Saccharomyces cerevisiae S288C: one gene and its partner. The gene in region 2 interacts genetically with the main gene of each other region. Each region holds a gene or a part of one and is shown on either strand. Other genes may lie near its edges.

Region 1 (4,297 bases), on a different chromosome or scaffold from region 2:
TGTTAAATTGACTGATGGCCATCAAAATACATGCTAAACTAACATATGGACTGGCCCTTTCACCAACACGTGCCATTTTCCAGAAGGCCCCCAAAACCTCATGATTTTTGTAACGATCTAGGAGAGACGGCCACTGCCCATGAACATAAGAACATGAACAAATCAGTAACAATATCACTTGCAGAAGAGAACGAAAATTAAATAATGCAGACATATTCTGTCGTGGAAAAAGGACGCAACTTTGCAAAGTAAATCGATCCGGCTCTCTAGTTATTTTGCAAACGATGTTTACCGCTGTTCTGTCTTTATCCTTGAGTTGTCGTTGCTCACTCTATTGAAGATCAAAATTTCGCTCAAGAAGAGCAGTCCCACCATGCGTACACCACACTACAAAAATGAATGTTATATCGTTTTTTCATGAATTACAAATGTCTATCGAAAAGTTCATTACTAAATATAATAAGATCAGGATCATTAAGAGATAAATTCACTGTGTCAGGTTACTTCCTGATAAGCTGAAACAAGTGGGTTCTTTCCTTAAGATAATGTTCAAATTTACTAAAATCTGTAATTTCAAGAACGTCAAAATTTCTTTTAATCTTGTTGAAAAAATGTTTATCAGCTTTTCTTCTCTTCTTGTAAGCCATCAAGATTACAGGTGGGTTTATGCAGTGAGTGAGATCAAGTAGTGTTTTTTCTAGTAATGGAAAAGCTTCCTCGAGATACACACAATCAGCTGCCAAAACTAGATCAACGTTATTTGCTTGCATAGCACCTTCTTGAGGTGAGAAATCTGCCGACAGCGGCTCACCCCACCAAAGTTCCCTCGCAAGAACTTCATACTGAACTTCGTCCAGTTCTATATTTCTTTTCAATAGTGGTATCAACTTGTCAATGTCCGTAACATATACTTTAGTGCCATCGTGGAATGTGTTTTTTTCCAACAACCCCACGCACAATCCAACTAAACCTGTACCACTACCCAATTCTAAGACTTTTTTAAATTGTTTCGTACCATTGACCGTCTTACTTAGCAGATGGTCAACTGATTTCTCGAGTATGTACTCGCACAACAGTTCGCCAGCGATCCAGACTTTACCGCCACAACCACTTTCACCGCCATCTTCACAAATTTTCAATGCAGGCAATAATTTTCCACCGAAGGAAAGGTCTGTTTGACCGAGATGCTCCTTTGGCCTAGGAACAACTAGATCTCCAAACCCACCAAATATACTCTCCATACTCAATACCTCACTAGTCGCGTTTTTATAACGTTCTAGGGAAAATTATGGGCCATTTTTTTACATAGAGCCTGCTCATCATAACTTTTGAATTATTTAAATACGAAGAATTACTTTCAGTGTTTGGGTGTGAGGGACTTTTCGTTTGGTCAAGCCAAAAAAGCTTAAGAGAAAAGAAAAATCTCTTCTGGTTTTACTTGACTAGGTTTCCAAATTATAATATCCGTATTATTAACGTGACACTCAGTATTCTCCATTCGTTTACGGGAACGTTGATATGTAAACATATGCAGATCCTCGTATTTTAGCAACGACAGGGAGAAACAAGAAATGAGATAGGATGAAAAAAAATAAAAGTTAGATATTTCTATTTAATTAGAATTCCGCGTAATAAATAATGACACGCTATTATAGTTCATGTATTATTATCCATTACAGGACTATCCTCTTGAATTACGGGCGTATCCAACCTTCTTTCAAGTTCTTCTTCAGTTGAACACAACGAAATGGAATCGGCCAAAAATGCCTCTTTGGCCATAAAATCGAAGTGTCCAACCAAAAGCTCCATGTCACGTTCGGTATTCACGGATGCTGTTTCGTAATTTTCAGGATACACTAGTGCTGTTTTGCCATCATCAAGGATTAGGTATTGAGGATTCACTACTAACGTATGCTTGAGATGTGGTTCAAAAAATCTCCTTAGATCTTCGGCAGTATTTCCAGCAACCAAATTTTGAACCAAAAAACCATTTTTCTTAGCCACCTCTACTTTAGGTTCCGTATCTTGAACCTCGAAGTTGATTAGTTTAGCTGTGGTGCGAGCTTGAAATTCTTGTGCTTTCCTTTCCTTCTGCAATTGTTTAAATGATTCATATAGTGGGTAAGCTTCTGCTAATGATAAGACTGGTTTATTGCTTGCGCCATTATCTTCTTTCTTAATAAATACAGATCTCATGGGCTCTCTGTCCTGAGACTCGGAATATAGGCCGTAAGCTTTGGCTAGTTCACGGATGAAGTGGCGTTGAGGAGGCCTCATAGGTTTGAAATGCAAGCTTGAACGTGTTTTATCGTCCATTAATTTATTAAGAATAGCTTCAATTTGTGAACACCATCTTTCTTGCTTTGAATATACTGATAATGCTGCCTCTGTAAACGGTAACTGCAGTTCTTCAAATGTTGTAGCAACAGAGACCAGTTTTTTTAACGCATCTAGTTCATTACTTGTAAAATTATTGGTTTCTTCCTTAATTCCAAATGCCTCCTTCAATTCCTTTAGTCGTTTCAAAGCTTCACATTCTTCATTGCAATCCAGCACGGAAGATTCAGTTACACTTACTCTATCACTTTTTGCGCCACAAGTAACACTTTTTTTGATCCTTCCACATTTACAATAAATTTTCACTAGCGTGGCACAAGGTAAATCGGGACACTCTGTCTTACCATGGCACGGTTTAGGACATTCATGATTACAATTGAGCCTTTTTTGCCCACAGGTCTGTTTACACACCTTTTGGCAATTTCCTGGTAAATGACATGTTTTTTGGCAGGTATGATAACAGTAAGAGAGTGGTATCCCACATTTTATTCCACATGATACGTCTGTTTGAAAACAAACCGTTCTCACTTTAGTTTTCTTCCCACATTTACAAGGTTTAAATACGGTTTCCGTACATGGCGGGCACGACACATCCAAGGAATGACAGGTATGTGGCATTGGTTTATGACCACACGTAGATTCGCCACGCACAACTTTAATACATGGATGATTACATGTAGGTAGCTTCGTGCCACAACGCACGGGTGCAGGAACAACTGTATTGCCACATGGGCAGACCAGATCGTTCGAATCACTCTCTAAACAGGGCGGACACTTTCCTGGGTGACATTTTCTCTGACATTTATGAATTCCACATGATAGGGTCAAGTTACACGGTTTTAGGCAGATATGTTTTGCTTCCACAAGAGACTCATCCAACAAATCTTGCGTTCTGAACAAGTTTTTCTTCCTTCTTATCGCCGATGGCCTACCACTGCAGCACCTATCGGTGCATCTATGTCTACGGCATGACATCAGGGATTCGCATTTAATATTGCAGCGAGGCCTTCCTTGAAATCCACATGGAACTGAAAATGTACTTTGCTCACAAGCACATTTTACACTATCAATTTGCAAGCAGGGTTCCATACAGGCTTTATCATGACAAGTGAAGGGGCACGAATGTTTGCCACATTTTAGTGGTTTACCGCATCTTGAGTCGCAGGTTGGTATCGGATCATCACAATGCTTACGAGGCTTAGTCAGTTCCTCTAGGGCTGTCCGGCCACAGGGACAAGTTTTCAAAGAGCTAGGCAAAAATGGGCATGCCTTTTCTCCATTAATTGTGGGTGGGCTTATGCAAGATTCTATGAATGAATGCTTGCGACATGAGTAGTCGACAACTCTATTATCTGCACAGGCAAACACGCCTATCCACCTGTTCCCATTTTCATCCTTCGACGACTTACCGGACTTGGGAAACTTTGTTTCACTACACTTTATGTTAGCACGAGTGTGGTTACCACAGTAGCATTTTATTTGCTTTTTCGGACTATCTTTACTAATTATCATTTCTGGACATGGCCCACATAAGCCAGGGTGGCATTTCTTTTTACAGGTGTGGATGGAGCAAGATAAAGGCAATCCACATACTTCTTGACAGTTGAAGTTTTTTTTCATAACTTTAGACTGGTAACAAAAGATACTTTTCGAATGCTTACCACAGTGGCACATAATCTCGACCATTCTAGTACACTCTGGATGCGGCCCTAGATGACAAATTTTGGAACAACCATGCATACAAGTAGAAGCATTGCAGGTTTGTCCACATGAGTTAGGATCCAGCGGATTCGGATCAGGATTAACAACTTTACCGCACCAACATGTGGGCCGATTTTTTACCGGAACTCTTTTGCTAACATAATAGCAGTTTGGACATTTCCATATTCTATCTACGGTTTTTTCCGTTGATTTTAACGCCCATTCTCTTATGCATCCGTAATCAAACACTCTATAACAT
Region 2 (3,776 bases):
TTGTTAGCGAAGGTGCATTGGAGGACATAGCTGCTGGTTTATAGTCATCTGCGTATAGTTTTTTTGCAGTATGAAAAAAGCATCTTCTTGCAGGACCTGTGACACATATTTTCGGGATCGCTACTACGGATAGCATCTTCTTTGATGACTTATCACTGTTTAGTTTTCTTCAAATTCCCTTTATTTCAGGTCGTTTTTCAAAATACTTTGGTTTTTCGAAAGTTTTCTCTTTTCGCTTAAAAAGGAGATTTTGTCGCTAGTCTCATAATGTAAGTTACACTAAAAAATAGAGAATAGTAAAGATGAACTGGATATACAAATATAGTATATTTTTACCGCTGTTGAAAACATTTCGTTCCCTCCCATGATACATTCATATTTTTTGTGGGTTTCAAGACTACCATAATACCTACTTTAGAAAAGCTTCGATTAGGTAAAAAAGTTCTATATGCTTTGATGTCGGGCATTTTTACGCATTTAAACATTTATATGATATAAATCTACTTTCTTTTTTTCTTCTTCAACTTGTTCTCAAAGTCTATCCATTTGCTTGGAATACCTAGCTTGTTAAGGTGATCAATGATCGATTGACCGTGTGGACCTTGAACCTGCACTTCAGCACATTTGAATGTTTGTGATTCACTTATTGTTGTCGATCCGCTACAAATCTTTCTTAAGTCAGCCGCAAGTGATTCTGGGTCGACTTGAAACACTTCAAAATTGCTCACTCTGGTAATAACTTTTCTGCCAATTTTCATTTCAGTAATAATCTTAATATGCGGAAGGGAACCCTTCATTGGCGCCTTGAACAAGAGAGTATCATCGCTTTTGAATATCTGATAGAACTCGGTAAAATTATTGGTGAGTAAGGGATGCAAAATTTCACCTCTAGCAATGATACGTGAAGCATTCAAGACTTTCTTCTTCTTATTGACCATATCGAATAATAGATCGTCCATAATAACTTTTCCTTTATCTTTTGTGTCTGCTAGGTTCTTGACAGAAATATACTGAGAAACCGCGCTTCTAATGTCCTGAGAGGTGTAGTACGTGTGAGAAGCCAAATTAACCTCCTTCAAAAGATCTTTGGCAAGATTAAAGGGTTTATACAGAGTCAGTGAATACATCATTCCAGATGTTTTCTCCTTCGAGGTTGTGCTCTCCCTACTTTCTGTGGCAGACTTGCTACAACCAAGCTTATATGGCACAAAGTTCTTTAACTCATCCTTGTCAGTATTTTTGCCCACAATAGTTAAGTCATCCCCCTTTCCTTTTAATTTCAAGAAGCCTTCTTTCTCGAAGTGTTTCAAAAATTTTGCGCTTTTTTTCCATGAAGTTTTCTTTACATTGACTTCATTGTGATCAATTGGAGGCAAATTACGCATAATGTGGTTTGAGATGAAGTTAGAAGCTGAAATGGGTAATTCCAAACCTTTATCTTGAGTCAAGGTATAATATAATGCTCTTGTAATGAAATAATCTACATCCGACACAGTGAAATGGTCTAGAACTTCAGCAATCTCCTCTACATCAACAGACGCTTCTTTTACATCTTCTTGTTCCTTTTCAACAGCCTTGATTTGCTCCGAGGATTCTATCTGTTTACTACTGATATTGTTATCCTTTGATTGAGTACTGAGAACAAATGGAGGTTCCAATTTCATTTTAAAGACTTTGGAGAGCCCATCATTGAAATGATGTATGATTTTGACAGCAACTCCTGTTTCACCAATTACTTTATCAAAGGACGGTAGATCTAATTCGACAATACCGATGGCTAAGACAGTTTCTGGTGCCTGTTTGCTAGCTATACCACAAAGAGTACCTATTTTACAACGAGGATCAAAGGGTGGGATCGAACCGGAAATCATTAAGTTAGCGCCGTTGAATAAATGTTCTTCTATAACAAATCCATGAGTTAAAACGATCGGCAATAACGCAGGATATTCCCAACAAGAATACACAGTTGGAAAAAGTTGCTCCTTATGCTTTTCCTTGAATAATATTGGGGTATTATTCTCATCTGTGTAAACCGTTCCTACACTTTTCTGGCCGTTAAAGTTGGTTTGTTTTATAGTGGAAGTACGAAAGCTATATTCCTCATTATTCGTTTGTTTTTGGAATGTTTGTAGCAACTTCTTTCTTTCGGAATTCTTCAAATTACTTAAAGCTTTTATGTGAGGCTCCTTCTTAAACATAGCTGTACTAATCCTGCGCTACACTAATCTATTGAGTCGGTTATTCAGTAGACTCATGTGTTAATTTTGACGCATATGTGTTATTTCACGGTTTTTTAGGTTTACATTTTTGTTTTCCGTAGCTAGCGCCTAAGTTTAACCAAGCATAACAAAATGGAGCACAGAATGCGTTCAATTCGATTTATCAGAAGACGTGACCTAGGGTTCTGTTGAACACGCGTAAACGACTCAAGACGAAATGTCGTCTCCTATTAATGATTATTTCATTGATTATAACCCTCTTTTTCCAATCTTTGCTACAAGAATTGCGAAAGGCCTTGCTATTTACAGAGTCTCGGATCACGCTAGGCTTGCAGTAATTCCAATAAGAAATATAAACTTGGTGGCGAATTACGATTGGGATACAACTACTGGTAAATTTTTGTCCATCTTTTTTAAGGATGGGACGATCAGAATCCATGACATTTTTAAAGACGGTCGATTAGTTTCATTCCTAAGAATTCCGAGTACAAAAATATCAAAAGGTATATGGGACCGAATTCCATTAAGATACGAACCAAATAATCGAGATTTTGCATGTAACATCATTGATGATTTACCAAAGCTAATAAGGTTTGTAAAGGACTCCAAAAGGATAAACATTGTCCCTTACACTCAACCGAATAGCTTGTGGAGAGGTCCTGATGAGGATGATCTAGATAGTAATGAAAAACTAGACGTTCACGTAGTATTCAATGAGGGAAATGATAAAATTACAGTTTTTTTTAATGGTGATTACGCTGTTTTCTTGTCGGTGGATAATATTGAAAACGAAAATTCTTTAAAATCAATTATCAAAGTTCAAGATGGCTTTTACCAGTGCTTCTATGAGGATGGAACTGTACAAACTTTAAATTTAGGACCTTTATTACAGAGCAAATCATCAGTGAACCTGCTGAATTATATAATGGTAATAAAAGAGCTTATAGGTTATATGCTTACTCATCTCGAGTTCATTAACCGGGAACTGGCAACACCTTATTTAGATTTCGTCAAAAGATTGTGTGATGAAGCCTACGGATATGGCAAACTCAAATCGGAATTAGAAGCCCTCTTTTTACTTGGAGAGATCTCATGTGACTTGGAAGACTGGCTTTGCAATTCAGTAGGTGAGAAGAACTTTAAAAGGTGGAAGTATTTAGGTTGTGAAGCTTACCAAAAAACTGTTCAGATTTTAACTTTAATATTTGTACCCGCATGTGAAAGAATCATTATTTATGTGGAGAAGTTAAGGGCAATATTACAAGCCTTTTCTATACAGAATAAGCTCAGTTATACGTCAGATTTGACAGCTGTTGAAGTGCTCCTAAAAAGTTCACAGAAATTGTTAACTATGACATTAAATTCAATAATAGGCTTGGGGAGGGACGAAACACTTTTTGAGAAGTTTTTCATATGGTTCAACGACAGACTTCATGAAGCGCTAGATGAAGATTATAAACTGAAATTTCAATTTGAGGATGATCTTTACTTTGGATACGATTTACTAAGTTACTTTGACAGAATCTTATCTAAAAAAGGTACGGAACCTAGCTCAAT

What was found. Genes that interact genetically often act in the same process or in processes that back each other up.
Region 1: mutations in TMA64 (region 2) and EFM6 together harm fitness more than expected from each alone (negative genetic interaction), as found in Saccharomyces cerevisiae (one large-scale study listed by BioGRID).

What each region holds. Positions count from the first base shown.
Region 1 is NC_001146.8:586,607-590,903, forward strand, and holds EFM6 (putative protein-lysine N-methyltransferase), read right to left. Parts: upstream 1,242-4,297; coding exon 501-1,241; downstream 1-500. Other genes in the region: KSH1 (Ksh1p), read right to left, coding at 1-214; FAP1 (Fap1p), read right to left, coding at 1,657-4,297. UniProt on the Saccharomyces cerevisiae protein: S-adenosyl-L-methionine-dependent protein-lysine N-methyltransferase that methylates elongation factor 1-alpha (TEF1 and TEF2) at 'Lys-390'.
Region 2 is NC_001136.10:683,446-687,221, forward strand, and holds TMA64 (Tma64p), read right to left. Parts: upstream 2,199-3,776; coding exon 501-2,198; downstream 1-500. Other genes in the region: mitochondrial 54S ribosomal protein uL1m MRPL1, read right to left, coding at 1-136; APC4 (anaphase promoting complex subunit 4), read left to right, coding at 2,437-3,776.